Macaca mulatta: one gene and its partners. The protein of the gene in region 1 interacts with the protein of each later gene in a pairwise test. Links are inferred from orthologs where the notes say so. Each region holds a gene or a part of one and is shown in the gene's direction. Other genes may lie near its edges.

The links.
Region 2: the proteins of EVL (region 1) and ABI3 interact in binary tests that used the Homo sapiens proteins (3 or more experiments, as listed by UniProt). The link is inferred for Macaca mulatta from reciprocal best matches to the Homo sapiens genes EVL and ABI3.
Region 3: the proteins of EVL (region 1) and TRIM9 interact in binary tests that used the Homo sapiens proteins (3 or more experiments, as listed by UniProt). The two-hybrid records come from large-scale screens. The link is inferred for Macaca mulatta from reciprocal best matches to the Homo sapiens genes EVL and TRIM9.
Region 4: the proteins of EVL (region 1) and SPTAN1 interact in binary tests that used the Homo sapiens proteins (3 or more experiments, as listed by UniProt). The link is inferred for Macaca mulatta from reciprocal best matches to the Homo sapiens genes EVL and SPTAN1.

The regions. Positions count from the first base shown.
Region 1 is NC_133412.1:173,399,673-173,403,664, forward strand, and holds the start of EVL (ena/VASP-like protein), read left to right. Parts: upstream 1-1,162; 5' UTR 1,163-1,250; coding exon of another isoform or gene 1,251-1,261; intron 1,262-2,061; 5' UTR 2,062-2,181; coding exon 2,182-2,240; exon of another isoform or gene 2,241-2,265; intron 2,266-3,992. UniProt on the Homo sapiens protein: Ena/VASP proteins are actin-associated proteins involved in a range of processes dependent on cytoskeleton remodeling and cell polarity such as axon guidance and lamellipodial and filopodial dynamics in migrating cells.
Region 2 is NC_133421.1:60,787,947-60,791,509, reverse strand, and holds part of ABI3 (ABI gene family member 3), read left to right. Parts: intron 1-771; coding exon of another isoform or gene 772-829; coding exon 830-1,049; intron 1,050-2,621; coding exon 2,622-2,730; intron 2,731-2,952; coding exon 2,953-3,048; intron 3,049-3,274; coding exon of another isoform or gene 3,275-3,277; coding exon 3,278-3,432; intron 3,433-3,563. UniProt on the Homo sapiens protein: May inhibit tumor metastasis. In vitro, reduces cell motility.
Region 3 is NC_133412.1:124,314,463-124,318,603, reverse strand, and holds the start of TRIM9 (E3 ubiquitin-protein ligase TRIM9), read left to right. Parts: upstream 1-1,332; 5' UTR 1,333-1,506; coding exon 1,507-2,328; intron 2,329-4,141. UniProt on the Homo sapiens protein: E3 ubiquitin-protein ligase which ubiquitinates itself in cooperation with an E2 enzyme UBE2D2/UBC4 and serves as a targeting signal for proteasomal degradation.
Region 4 is NC_133420.1:19,091,728-19,095,290, reverse strand, and holds part of SPTAN1 (spectrin alpha chain, non-erythrocytic 1), read left to right. Parts: intron 1-1,190; coding exon 1,191-1,324; intron 1,325-1,496; coding exon 1,497-1,641; intron 1,642-1,719; coding exon 1,720-1,874; intron 1,875-2,479; coding exon 2,480-2,615; intron 2,616-3,563. UniProt on the Homo sapiens protein: Fodrin, which seems to be involved in secretion, interacts with calmodulin in a calcium-dependent manner and is thus candidate for the calcium-dependent movement of the cytoskeleton at the membrane.

The DNA.
Region 1 (3,992 bases):
ATGACCAGAGGGCAGAATTCTTCTTTCCTAAGCCATAAAAGTCCTTTAAGGACCAGTACGGTCGTTCTGAATTTTTTGTCTGTGATTTCTAACACAGTGCATGCTTCTTAGTGAGTTCTCAGTAGATTTTGAAAGAAAGATTGAACTGGATTTTATCTTCATGAGAACCCTGTTGGAGATAGGCAAAGTAAGTATAACTAACCCCATTTTACAGTTGAGGCCACCCATTTAATGAACAAGTGACAAAGCCAAGTTCTCAGTGTTCCTCAAATGTTTTCCTTTCAGGCTCTAAATTGCTGACTTAAATGTCCTCATTAGAGAGAGCTGTCTGCTCGGTAGAAGTACAAATTTTGTTCCAGAGTCAAATATTAAGACTTGATCGGCGGCCTGGCATGGTGGCTCATGCCTGTAATCCCAGCACTTTGGGAAGCCGAGGCAGGCGGATCACCTGAGGTCGGGAGTTTGAGACCAGCCTGACCAACATGGAGAAACCCTGTCTCTACTAAAAACACAAAATTACCTGGGCATGGTGGCACATGCCTATAATCCCAGCTACTCAGGAGGCTGAGGCAGGAGAATCGCTTGAACCTTGGAGGCGGTGGTTGCGGTGAGCCAAGATCGTGCCATTGCACTCCAGCCTGGGCGATGGGAGTGAAATTCTGTCTCAAAAAAAAAAGATCAGCTTATAGTCTTTATCATCTAGTCTTCTATTCTCTGGAGAGTCAGCGGGGACTCTTGCGAGTTCTTGTAGCCTTTTCTTAAGGCCTATAGGAAGTCGTCTGTGCTGAGCCTGCACTTTCTATAACAGATGGAAAACCGAGGCCCAGACCTCTTAAATGGCATTGACTTAGACAGACTATAGAGCTAGTTCGTCGGGGGCCAGCACCACGACCTGGCCCCTACCTCCAGCAGGCATCACCCACCCTTGCACCCTTGCAGGAAGTGCTTAGAGGCTTGAGGTTGCCAGCCGTGGAGGTGTCAGGCCTGTGAAGTGCCTCTCAGCCACCCACGCTGGTAGGGCTCTGCACTGCTAGCTTCTTGTTTCTCTATTTTCTACCTAGGTTTCAGTTTTTCACTTGGGTTTGTTTCCCCTTTGTCTCTGGTTCAGCTTCCTTTTCCTGTTTGGTTTTAAGTAGTCTATAAAAATCAAGTTGCTGTCTTCAGAGAGTCTGTGGTCCTCTGATCAGCATAGCCCAGTGGGAGTACCGGACTCACCTCCTCAGGGTTCCCTGTGCTGCCACTTTTCAGCCATGGCCACAAGGTGAGTACTGAAACCAATACAGGGAACAGAGGGATGTCAAGAGGAAACCTAGAATCTTACTGGTGAATGGGCTGTGGAAATCATCTCATGACCCCTCAGTATACTGATCAAGAAATCCATGACCAGAGGGCAGGGGACTTACATGAGGTTACACAGCACGTTGGTGACAATCTGCTCACTCTCCAGCCGCTGGTCTTTCCATTACACAGGCCTGTGTCTCTTGATGCCTGTGACCCTTAATGGCTTCTGGATGAAGGATTTACTCAGAAATTAGCCCCTACCTCAGATTATAGGGAGGAGGGTCTGAGCCATCTAGGGGATTGTTGTTTAGCTCAGAGGTACATTTTGATGAGTCCTGGCTCTTCTCTCTAGAATGACCTGAGACTGGTTGTTTTATCTAAATATAGACAGAGAGAGTTATTTTTATTATAGGAACTTCATGAACTTAATAGCAAGAATCCTGACCCTCCACTTGTGAGACTTGTGACCTTAGGCTGTTGCTGTTTAGCACATGTGTGAGTGCCAGCCAGTCTACAAACTGCACTCCTCATTGAGATTGTTCTTTCTAAAGGGGAGATTACATGTTGGACCTGCCTCTCCCCTGCCATACAACTCTGAAAGATTATAGATGATAGGACAGACAGACTTTTAACCTGTGGGGTTTGGGGCATTTGTTTGGTTGACTCATGACAGCTTTGTTTTTTAGCATAAAGTAATGGTCCCTCACTTTGAAAATTATTTCACAATTTTCAAAGTGCCATTTCACCAGTTTTCTTATTTGAATCTTTTAATCGTGTTAGATCGATGAGAACGCCGTCATCACTCCTGTTTCATAGCTGAGAAAACCTCTGAAAAGTTGTGGGGCTTGTCCGAGGTCACATGGCAGGTGGAGGAAGGAATGGAACCAGGGTTTAACAAGGATGGCCTCGTCCGGTGGTTTTCGCAGCACGCTACACAGGCTCTTGAGAAGCAGTTTGCAGTGAGTTGTTAAAATTGACATGGTGGTAGGTAGAACTTGTCCAGGGCTGCTTATTTTCCAGTGGGCTTTATTTCTGCTCCTATCATTTTAGTAACTTTCTTTTAACTTTAGAGGACTTGTGAATGGAACTTCTGAAAACAGAATACTTTTCATTTCAAAGGCATATCAACTTCCAAAGTCATTTTTAGTTGTAAATTACATTGTGAAAAATTCCAGCAGCTTATTCTACCCTGCCAATTACTAATTGCAGAAAATTATATCAGAAGTAAATGGGGAGGAGGCACATCAATCTCTTTTTCAGTTTTAAAATCGTAGAAATCTAGAAGTTTCCATCTTGAAAAGACCTTGGAGATGATCTACAGTAGTTTACCTAGGTTAGTGGTGCTTTGGGCATCTTATCCTCTACTTCAGCCAAAATAACTCTACTTTTGTCTTTTTTTTTTTTTTTTTTTTGAGATGGAGTCTCACTCTGTCACCCAGGCTGGAGTGCAGTGGCCGGATCTCAGCTCACTGCAAGCTCCGCCTCCCGGGTTCACACCATTCTCCGGCCTCAGCCTCCCGAGTAGCTGGGACTACAGGCGCCCGCCGCCTCGCCCAGCTAGTTTTTTGCATTTTTTAGTAGAGACGGGGTTTCACCGTGGTAGCCAGGATGGTCTCGATCTCCTGCCCTCGTGATCTGCCCGTCTCGGCCTCCCAAAGTGCTGGGATTACAGGCTTGAGTACTTTTGTCTTTTTAATGTATTCCTTGATAATTAATTGAGGGAAAAAAAGTCATATTGTTGGTGGTGGTGATGATTTTCAAGTCTGAAGATTACACTAATCTAGTCCAGCTCCTGAGTGCACAGATCAGGAAATTGAGGCCCAGTGTGGAGCAGAGTTTGTCTACGGGGAGCAGAGTAGTGGCTGAACCAAAGCAAAAGCCCAGGTTTTCTGGAGCATCCCTTCCCCGTACAAGGCTGCTTGTACTCTGCCACAGGTCCCTGGCCTGGCCCCGTAGTGACAGTCCTGGTGGAAGCAGCGTTCATGGAGCTGCAAGGTCAGCAGCCATAGGAGCTGTGAACTTTTTGTTTTTCCTCATGCTGACTGACATATGGGGATACCACGGCGCCTGTGGTGGGGATACAAAGGGCCTTTTTAATGTGCAAATATATCTTACTAGCTCTAGCTCTGACTACTCACCAATCAAGAAACGTTTTCCAAGCCCTAACTGGATTAGGAGCTAGGAATTTTCTTGAGTGCATGACAACGTACAGAATGCTTTCACTGACATTATTTTATTTAATTACTGCAATAATCCTGAAGGTAGCATTGTGGGGTGTTTTTGTTTTTGTATTTTTTAGAGATGAGGTCTTGCCATATTGCCCAGGCTGGCCTCAAACTCCCAAGCTCGAGCAAGCCTCCTGCCTCAGTGGGACTACAGGTGTGGGCCACCACACCCAGCTAGCATTGTTTTTATTGTTTCTGTTTCATAGAAGGAGAGAGTAACTTGACAAGAGACATAGCCAGTGAGTGATAGACCCAGGACTTGAACCTGTGCCTCCTGACCACAGATGCTTTGCCCTTTTGCTCTTACGCCTGAGTTGGAGCGGCCTCTGTCTTCAGGGACTGGTCGGGAGTGAGGAAGGCAGCACTCACAGAAATGAGGAGGCGACTCGCTGTAAGGACCCTGTAGCATAGACAGTAATAAGCATAAACAGGAGGGGCAGTAAGAGTTGAGAAGTTGGGGACTGTCAGGGAAGACCTTAAAGAGAA
Region 2 (3,563 bases), on another chromosome or scaffold:
TTCTTGGAATTCTATCCTGGACATTAGAAAGTAATATCTACCAATCAGAGCAGCGGCATATACAGGAAAGAAGCAAATGAACCCTGTTTGCATCTAAATACAAGCAGTGCCTTAATAAATATCCTAGACCCAGGGTGCTAGCTTGACAAGGTCATCTTCAGCCCTGGAAGCACTGCCAGCACCATACAGTATACACCCTCCACCCTGCCACAGTGTTCTAGCGCACACACCCTCCTTCCTTCCTGGATCCTTGACCGAGGAATTGCCCCATAAAGCACATGCACAGACCCAGCCACACATTCAGCCTGGCCTGTGCATCACCCACATGTTCAGTGGGTGGGGTGTGCCTTTTCCTCTCCCCCCGCAGACCAGAGTTCCCACCCTTTCGAACTGTAGGCTTTCTCCATGGAACATTCTGAGAGGAAGTCAGTTCACTTATTTGTCCCCCAAAGCTGGTCAAGCCACCATTCTCTGCCACCTCCATATTTTCCCCCTCTGCTCCCAAGCCAGCCCAGTGCTTGTCTCTTCCCGGCATCCCCAGGGATGTTGTGTTTTCTCTTTTCCTCCTGTTCCTGCTCAGCTAATAATAACCCTTACTCTTTCCACCAGGAAGTGGCTCCAAAGTGGCTTCATCCTTTCCTGCCACTTTTCCCAATTGCTATGTAGCCTGGTGGGGGAGCGGGGGGAGGGGAAGGGCCCTCTTTTTCTAGACCTCGTTGCCTCCCATGGTCCCTACCCCCAGCCCAAAGTCTCTATCTTCTTCCTCCTTAGGGGGAAGGGCATTGGACACAGACCACCCCTCTCTGTCACCTTGAACCCTGTCATGCAGATGGTGAACATGCACATGGAGAAGGTGGCCCGAAGGGAGATCGGCACCTTAGCCACTGTCCAGCGGCTGCCCCCAGGCCAGAAGGTCATCGCCCCAGAGAGCCTACCCCCTCTCACGCCCTACTGCAGGAGACCCCTCAACTTTGGCTGCCTGGACGACATTGGCCATGGGATCAAGGTAGAGAGAGGGACCCTCTTCTTTCCCTCCAACCCACCCTCTCGTGCCTTGTGGCCCTTTTCCCTCCAGACCCCCAGTTCTCCTGCACATTTTGTCCCAACTTGCCACTGCTTTCTTTCCCCACTCCCTGAAGCCACCACTCTGAGCTCTTCTCCCTCTCCCTAGATTTTGTAATCCCTCCCTCCAAAACTGGTCTGTACCGTCCTCAGAGGATCTGCTGAGTGTGAGATCCTGAGCACCCCTCGCCCCCCCGCCCTGCCCCTGTGCCACCGGGCATGTGGGAAGGGGAAGAGGGGGAAGGGAGGATGTCAGGGTGTGCATGAGAATGGCTCCCAGCCACATGAGAACAGCAACTTCCTCTGTCTGGGGGTTTGAGGTCACTGCACTGAGCAGTCACCCCACAGCTGCTTTGGTGAGAAGAAGCGGGGATGCAGCCACACAAAGGGGACTTGGTGAAGAGAGGGGAGCATGGCGCTGGCGTCTTCTCAGCCCACGTCCTTCTGCGAGGTCGGAGAGGGCACGCACTCACACCCGTCCCGTCTTCAATTCCTGTCTCCACACCTTGACATTTCTGTATTGAAATGAACCCCTTGATATCCTGAACTTATCAGCCACCCTTAAAGGGGAAACCACACTCTCCCCTTCAACCACCAGGCCTCCTCCCCACCAGTAAGGTCTCTGTTGTCCAACTTATATTCTTTTTTTTTTTTTTTTGAGATGGAGTTTCACTCTTGTTGTCCAGGTTGGATTGCAATGGCGTGATCTTGGCTCACTGCAACCTCCACCTCCTGGGTTCAAGTGATTCTCCTGCCTCAGCCACCCGAGTAGCTGGGATTACAGGTGCCTGCCACCATGCCTGGCTAATTTTTTTTTTTTTTTTTTTTTTTGTATTTTTAGTAGAGATGGAGTTTCTCCATGTTGGCCAGGCTGGTTTTGAACTCCTGAACTCAGGTGATCTGCTTGCCTCAGCCACCCAAAGTGCTGGGATTACAGGCGTGAACCACCGCTCCCAGCCCAACTTATATTCTTTGTGCTTCAGCTCAAATCCCTTTCGTCTTGCCCCTGGTGAAGCCTATGAGGTAACACTGTACCCACCCCTTGGGGAAGTCCCATTGGTAACAGAAGTTCCCTCTTTCATGTGGGTGTGCGCCCTGTCATTTGCACATCCCCTCTAAGTGGCCTGGGTCCTGCTCCTCTCTGCCCTAACTCCCCAAAGCCAATTCCACAAATCTTCGAAAATGACAGGTGGGACACTTCTAAGTGTGATGTGTCCTCTCCTTTCCCCACCGCCTCCTCAGCCCAATCAAAGTTAGGGACTACTAAGCCAGGGCCTCAGCTTCCTGGGCTCTGAGATGGTTTGGAGGAGGGACAGGGGTGCCGGGCCCACTCAATCCGCTGTGGCTGTGCAGAGGAAGTGGCTGTCGGCTTTGGTAGAATTGAGTCCCAGAACCCAGGCAATGACAAGGGGGTAGCTTGGGGGAAGTGTAGGAGAGGGCCCTGAGAAGTGGAAGTGGGAACTGGCCATGCTGGGCTCTCCCTCCCGGTTCTCGTCCGCCCCTCCTCCATTTCCTCTTGGGGATGAGGGTGGGGAGCGGCCTCTCACCCCAAATGTCAGCCCTACCTCCCGCTCCCTCGCAGGACCTCAGCACGCAGCTGTCAAGGACAGGCACCCTGTCTCGAAAGAGCATCAAGGCCCCTGCCACACCCGCCTCCGCCACATTGGGGTGAGGCCTCGCCAACTAGCCTAGCCCTACCCCGCGCGACCCTGAAACTCTCCTCCCCCAGCCTCGCCACCCACCCCTGGCGCCTGGGTGCTCAGGCCGTCATGCTGGATGCCTGGCGCCAAACCTCCCCCTCGGCCACATGCCTTTCCTGCTCACACCCGACCCCTGCTGGCCAGAAGCCTTCCTCCTTCCTCCTAATACCCACTCCCCGACCCCCGCCAGGAGACCACCCCGGATTCCCGAGCCAGTGCACCTCCCGGTGGTACCCGACGGCAGACTCTCCGCCGCCTCCTCCGCCTCTTCCCTGGCCTCGGCAGGGTGAGACCTACAAGCCTGCGTGGGAGGGTGAGGGGTGGGAGGTGGCTTTCGAGAGGGGCCTCCTGCCAATGGTCATAGTGACTCCTGGGCTTGAAAGGACCCAGTTAGTCCTGGGTCACACGTGCAGGGCTGGGTTCAGGATTGGAGGGGTGGGGCCAGCTGGGGATGCTGCATTAGGGAAGGCGTGTCGCCAACCGGGCCGAGCCCCGCTTTCTCTGGTGTTCAGCAGCGCCGAAGGTGTCGGTGGGGCCTCCATGCCCAAGGGGCAGGCAGCACCTCCAGCCCCACCTCTCCCCAACTCCTTGGACCCACCTCCTCCACCAGCAGCCGTCGAGGTGTTCCAGCGGCCTCCCCCGCTAGAGGAGTTGTCCCCACCCCCACCGGGTAAGGAGCTCCGCCCCCTTCTTCTTCCCAACCGTGGGGTCGCTTTTCCGCCTCCTGCCATTCCCCAGCCCACCTCTCTTGGATCTGCCCCAGCCAGCCTCAGTGAATGCCTCCTCCATGGAGCGCAGCAC
Region 3 (4,141 bases), about 49 Mb from region 1:
TAGAACTTGCAAAGAGTTTTTGTCCTTTACTTCATGAATCACTCAGCAAAAGCCAGCTATGTACTATTTCAAATGTTACTACCTCAGAATGTCACTTGACTCAAAGATTTTCCTTTCCTTTTCTTCTTCCTCCCTCCCTTTCTTCCCTTCCTTCCGCCTTTCCTTTTTCCCCTCTCTTCCTTCCTCCCTCCCTCCCTCCTTTTACAGGGACTAACACTAGAACCACCGCCTCACCACGCCCCTCATTGGAGGAAACAGAAAGGCACACCATGCTGTAAGCTATGGCAGATGCTCAGGGCACGTGGGGTTGAATAATGCTGTTTGGAGTCAAACACTGAGACTCCGCAGCCACACAGTGATTCATTTACAGAGCTTTACTAAACTACGGGCACTCAGAAATAGACAAACTATTCTTGCCTCAATAAAACCAAAGGCCTTGCGGGCCTCGTGAAAGCTCAAGCCAGGTGCTTTGGGAGGCCGGGAGGAGGAAGAGAGATCCGTGGAAGGAAGCACGTTCACACCATGTCACTGAGGCCTCCGGGCCGAGGTATAATTTAAAGCATGAAACGAAGGGGTCATAGATTCTGACTAATGCTGACCATTTCCATCGGTTACCCAGCTGAATCTTATGGCGACACTAGGAAATCGACTTTATACATGCTCTTTAGGAAACGAGGGACGCAGGATGAAAGAAGTCAAGAGTGTCGCCAGGGCTTGCACCAGCGCCGTCAGACTCCCGCGATGGGGGAGCTCCAGGGCACGGAGTCAGCGGATTTACTGAGACGGAGAAAAGCCCCACTGCCGTGCAGAAGCCTAGGCCCGGGTGAGGCGCCTGCGAAGGCTGCCAACAGCGGAAGAGAAGGGGCGTCCTCCGTGTTGCGCAGCATGCGCCCGCGGTAGGTGGGCGCGGAGCTCAGAGCTGGGAGCCAAACGCAAACGCTGGCGAGAAGCCCCAGCCCCCTCCGCCAGCCCACTCGCTGCGGGGAGGGGTTTCTCACGCCCTCAGCTCCTGGGAGACTGCACCGGAGGTCGGAAGGAAGCGGAGCGAGGATGAGTCATCCCGCCTAATTCCTCCTTCCCGGTCCCCCTAGCCTCCGCACGCCGGCCCCCTCCAGAGATCATGCAACCGCGAGCGAAGACTCCCCTATATTCAGACTCTACCGAACCCCCTGCGGCCTGCGGAGACGAGGAGACGGACGGGTCTCGTGGCCAATGAGAGCTTCGATCTCGTGCCCGCCGCCCAATGGGCCGCGGCTCATGGGCCGGGGCGGGACTAGGAGGGCAGGAGGGGGCGGTCCGGGCTGGCGCGCGGCGCGGCGGCTCCGCTGCAGCGACTCACAGAGCTAGCGCCTCTCCGGGTGTCCTCGCCAGCACTGCGCGGGAAGGCGCCACCACCACCGCCGCCGCCGCCGCTGGCCAGGGTGCTGGACAAGACGGGCCCGTCGACCACCTAGCCAGCTCAGGCACCCGCTGCAGCTGTCGCTGCCTCCTCCCAGACCGGTCCCCATGGAGGAGATGGAAGAGGAGTTGAAATGCCCGGTGTGCGGCTCCTTCTATCGGGAGCCCATCATCCTGCCCTGCTCTCACAATTTGTGCCAGGCGTGCGCCCGCAACATCCTGGTGCAGACCCCGGAGTCTGAGTCCCCCCAGAGTCGTCGGGCCTCGGGCTCCGGGGTCTCCGACTATGACTATCTCGACCTGGACAAGATGAGCCTATACAGCGAGGCGGACAGCGGCTATGGCTCCTACGGGGGTTTCGCCAGCGCCCCCACTACCCCGTGCCAGAAGTCCCCCAACGGCGTCCGCGTGTTTCCCCCGGCTATGCCGCCACCGGCCACCCACCTGTCACCGGCACTGGCCCCGGTGCCCCGCAACTCCTGTATCACCTGCCCCCAGTGTCACCGCAGCCTCATCCTGGATGACCGGGGGCTCCGCGGCTTCCCCAAGAATCGCGTACTGGAAGGGGTAATTGACCGCTACCAGCAGAGCAAAGCTGCGGCCCTCAAGTGCCAGCTCTGTGAGAAGGCGCCCAAGGAGGCCACCGTCATGTGCGAACAGTGCGATGTCTTCTACTGCGATCCGTGCCGCCTGCGCTGCCACCCGCCCCGGGGGCCCCTAGCCAAGCACCGCCTGGTGCCCCCGGCCCAGGGTCGTGTGAGCCGGAGGCTGAGCCCGCGCAAGGTCTCCACCTGCACAGACCACGAGCTGGAGAACCACAGCATGTACTGCGTGCAGTGCAAGATGCCCGTGTGCTACCAGTGCTTGGAGGAGGGCAAACACTCCAGCCACGAAGTCAAGGCTCTGGGGGCCATGTGGAAACTACATAAGGTGAGTCCTGAGAAAAACCCACTCCTAACTCGCTGCGTCTTCCATCATCCGGTTTTGCAGCAGACGGTCCCCGTCTCTTGCGCACAGCGCATCCCAGTGGGGGCGCAATGCAGGTGCCTTCGATGTTTACCTCCCCGGTCTGGTGCATTGCAGGAGGCACGGGGGAATCTTAACCGGCGCACGGGGGACTTGAATGCCCCCACAGAGTTGTTGCGGGGATGTCTTAGAGCGGGTCTCTCGGGGCGCGCTGCCTGCGAGCGGGACGCAGGACGCCCCCTCTCCACGGCTGGTCTGTAGCCAGTGGCCGCGGCCAGTGTGTTGGAAAGCACTGCGTAGCTGGGTAGAGCCGCGCCAGTGCCCGGGGCCGCTAGGCACGCTCGAGGGCAGGGCGGGCTGCGAACCCCCGGGGAGGGACTGGAGTGGGGGCGGTGAGGTCGCGCGGACGGCGGGAGTCTGTCGCTGCTGGATAGGCAGACCTGGTGAGGCACGGCGGAGGGTAGGGGAGACGCCGCGGGCGGAATACTAATGAGCCCGGCTGTGGGCCAGACCTGGCTCTGGAGCTGGAGAGAACGCGGGGTCCTGGTGCCACGTGCTCAAAAGACAGACTGGAGAGGGCAGCCAGCGGTCGCCATGGCAACGCGACGTGCAGACTTGGTCCGGAACCCTTCTGGAGTTGGGACCTGGGACTAGAGTGTAAGGACCGGAATTTGCGAAGTCGCGGCCTGGAAGCCAAGGTGCATCTCCTAGGGAAACCTCCTCCTCCCAACTACACACACACCCACTTCTCCAGAATTCAACCTCTTTCCTCTCAGTAGTTATATGTGCAAATATGTGCAAACTTTGGGACACCTGTTACCAGATTTATCTTTCCAGTCTCTTTTAATGATATTTCCACATGGCTAGACACTAAGAGGCTTTAGCAACATGTTAGGTCGTGCCACTCCTCTGCTCAAAACTCTCCAATTGTTCCTATGCTTCTCAGCCTGTCCTTGGAATGGTCTATGAGGCCCTACATGACCTCTTTTCCATTTTGGCCCCCTCGACCTCATTGCCTCCCACTTACTCCCTCTGCTGTAGCCACACTGCTTCTTGCTGTTCCTCAAGTGACACCAGGCACCTCCCCACCCCAGGGCCCTTGCATTTAGTGTTCATTCAGCCTGAAGCTCTCTTCCCCAGTTACCTGACATCCGAATGAGTCACTTACTTGCATCCTTCAGCTCTTTGCTCAGGTATCATCTTTACAGCACCACCTACCCAGACACCCACTAGTTCCCTCTCAGCTTTGGTTTCCTCAGTAGTATTTATCCTTGTGTGGCATGCTATATATTTTAATTATGTTATTTTTGTATTTATCTATTGCTCCCTGTACACACACAGGCATAAACGAAATAAGCCTCATGAGGAAGATTCTTATAATATGCCCACACTGCTTAGAAGGAAGGGAACCACTCTTGAAGAGATGTGTATGAATTTGCTTTTCATTTTTTTAGATGACCCATTTAGTTGGAGCTGTGGAGTGCAGGGCAGGGATTCAGGATGATTGGAAGGAGCTTTTCTTTACATCACTGAGTTGCATACCCAAGGATGAGATAGAGTAGTGAAGATGGTGCCCAGGCCTCATCTGTGGCCTCACTCAGTCTCCCAGAATACCTTGGAGACTAGAAAGGGTAGCTTTTGCAAGTTGCCAACCCTGGAGTTAAGGCTGAAACATTGATATTTTGTTTACAGCAAGGAAAAAAGTCATTAATTTTCAGCAATCAGTGAAAGTTTTCTCAACTCCTTAACCCAGTTGAATGTGATCCATGTTTACAGT
Region 4 (3,563 bases), on another chromosome or scaffold:
CCACTCTGGCGCTGGAGCCTGTGAAGAGGGAATGATAACCCTTCCCCAGTGCCCACGTGTACAATCCTGTAAGCTGCTTCCACTCTGAGTCCAAAGGGTTCCACGGACATCAAGTACTCACAACCCGAGAGTTTTTACTTTTAGGGAAATTTGATTTGGGGGGGTACAAATTTTAAATGTATACATCTGCTTACAGGCTGGTACTTGTTTCCTTTTTCTGGTCTATGATTAAGAGAAAGAATACCCGGCATTCCTCAGAAATATCTCACCCTTCCACAGTGACAGATGTGTTACCTTTCCAAACCCTAGGCTTTCCTACGGTTGAGCTTGAGAAGAGTAGTCAGGCCAAACCCATGGTATCCCAAATGGATTCAAGAACCCTGAATGCGGCCGGGCGCGGTGGCTCACGCCTGTAATCCCAGCACTTTGGGAGGCCGAGATGGGCGGATCATGAGGTCAGGAGATCGAGACCATCCTGGCTAACACGGTGAAACCCCGTCTCTACTAAAAATACAAAAATTAGCCGGGCACGGTGACAGGCGCCTGTAGTCCCAGCCACACGGGAGGCTGAGGCAGGAGAATGGCGTGAACCCAGGAGGCGGAGCTTGCAGTGAGTGGAGATTGCACCACCGCACTCCAGCCTGGGCGACAGAGCGAGACTCCGTCTCAAAAAAAAAAAAAAAACACAAGAACCCTGAATGCTTCACTTTATTACTTTATATCGTATTTTTAAAAACACCAAAATGTGGTTGGTAGGGAAGGATACTTTTAAAGAAATGTCTCTAAGCTGGATGCAGTGGCATCTGCCTGTAGACCCAGCTACTCTACCCAGACCCAGGCTGACAAGACGGGATCACTTGAGACCAGCCTGGGTAACATAGCAAGACCCTGTCTCAAAAAAGAAAAAAAGAAATGTCTTCAGTCTAAAGCCAGGAACAAACTCTTAAGCCCTGAAAATTATGTTTATGTACAAGAATGCTTAACAGCCTCATGAACATCTGAAATACCAAATTTTCAAGCAGTTAGGGTAGATGAGTACATGGATAAAGCTACCACAAAGTTACAGCCAAACTATTTATTAACATCAGAGTGGTGATTTGCTAAGATACGTCAAGGAACCAACCCCAGGGTAACTAGTTGGAGAAGCCAGAAGTTGTGTACAAATCCAGTCTCTTCTCTTCCTTGTTTAGGAGCAGCACCCTGAGGAGGAACTGATCAAGACTAAGCAGGATGAAGTCAATGCAGCCTGGCAGCGGCTGAAGGGCTTGGCTCTGCAGAGGCAGGGGAAGCTCTTTGGGGCAGCTGAAGTTCAGCGCTTTAACAGGTGTCAAGCCAGAGTGGGCTTTGGGGAATGGGCCTCAACCTGGAGGGGAGTTGTGAAGCACAGGGCATGTGCTGGTGAGCTGTCAGGGCTGACTGGGCCTTGGTCCCATGGAGTGTTCCTAGTTCTAGGGAGATGTCATTGCTGTGGATTAACTGGTGCCTTTGTTCTGTAGGGATGTGGATGAGACTATCAGTTGGATTAAGGAAAAGGAGCAGTTAATGGCCTCTGATGATTTTGGCCGAGACCTGGCAAGTGTTCAGGCTCTGCTTCGGAAGCACGAGGGTCTAGAGAGAGATCTTGCTGCTCTAGAAGACAAGGTGGGTTTTACAAGCAGCTGATTCTGTAAATAAGTTACCAAGGGTCAGGAGAATAGTTCTGACGGAGTTCATTTCTAGGTCAAAGCCCTGTGTGCTGAGGCTGACCGCCTGCAACAGTCCCACCCTCTGAGTGCAACACAGATTCAAGTGAAGCGAGAGGAACTGATTACAAACTGGGAGCAGATCCGCACCTTGGCGGCAGAGAGACATGCACGGCTCAATGATTCATACAGGTGCAAATAATGCTCCAGGTCTTAACCAGTATCATTTAACTTCTTTTTAGGAAGCAGGAATAGCAGAGTTAAGGGTCTGTTCTGTGTTCTGTGGAAGTGTCAGGTATCACCTACCAATGCAAATCACTTCTTACCTATGTTCTCTCTGTTTGGAGACTGGCAACTGTATCATGTGTAGTATGTGTATGCTATTTACAACTTCATAAATTCTTCTATTCTGCATCACTGCATTATGACTGATAGAATGGAAATATCCCCTTAAGTATCTGAGTATCACATTAAATACCTTATTACAACCAGATTGGAAAGGAAAAGAATGCTTCTTACTAGCCAAGGGTTGAACCTGGGAATAACAAGGAAGTTGGAAATGTGGGACAGGATTGGGGCTTTATAGTGATGGACAGAACCTAAGTTTTAAAGCGTTGATTTCAGCCTTCTCTTGCTTTCCTTCACAGTCTAGATTGGTAGAATTTCATATTTCCCAGAACTAGAGTTTGTATAATTTGTTAGACATTTGAGAACATAGAATTCGGAGCTTTAGGGAGGCCATTTTCCACCCTGGAACCTCTGCTGGAAACATAATGTCTTCCTTTGGCTTTTCCTAGGCTTCAACGCTTCCTTGCTGACTTCCGTGACCTCACCAGCTGGGTGACTGAGATGAAAGCCCTCATCAATGCAGATGAGCTTGCCAATGATGTGGCTGGGGCTGAAGCCCTGCTAGATAGACACCAAGAGCACAAGGTAATAGTATCTCCAGCATCTTCCAGAAGTGAAGATTTTAGCTTATAATGCAACAGTATATCAATGTTGGGTGAGGCCTGTAGTTGGAGTTGGTACCACGTTATTCACAGGTGTCTCTCATCATAAGGATTGTGGTTGGTTTTGCCTTTGGAGACCTGGTCTACCTGCTTCTGATAGAGGCTTAACTCAGTTCAGTGTGAAGAAGTTCACTGTGGTCCATAAAAGCAAACAGCAGACAAGCTCTGGCGAGATAGAAGTGCTGCTACTTGGCACGTTGATCCTTTGTGATGTAAAAAGTATTTGTTGGGCTGAGCACAGTGGCTTATGCCTATGATCCCAGCACTTTGGAAGGCCAAGGCAGGTGGATCACAAAGTCAAGAGATCAAGACCATCCTTGCCAACATGATGAAACCCTGTCTCTACTAAAAGTACAAAAATTAGCTGGCCTTGGTGGCACATGCCTGTAGTCCCAGTTACTCAGGAGTCTGAGGCAGGGGAATCGCTTGAACCCGGGAGGCAGAGGTTGCAGTGAGCCATGATCGCACTATTCTACTACTGCCTGGACAACAAGAGTGAAACTCCGTCTCTCAAAAAAAAAAAAAAAAAAAACTGAGAGGTTTTAATGTGCTAGATACAAAATCAATATACTGAAAGTCAAACGTTTCTCTACACTAGCAACAGAAACGTAATTTTTAAAAATACTACTTATTAGAGCAGAAAATATAAAGTACTTAGGAATAAATCTAACAAAAGTGTGTAAGACATTTGTGGAAAAAACTATAAAACTTTGTTAAAAGGCATTAAATAAAAACTGAATAGAGAGAATTATTTATCTAGTGCACAGATAGAACGATCTTTTGTGAAGGTATAAATTCCCACCAGGATATATACAGTTAATTCAGTTCTAGTCAAGTGCTCAGCAGGTATATGTGTATGTGTGTGTTTCTT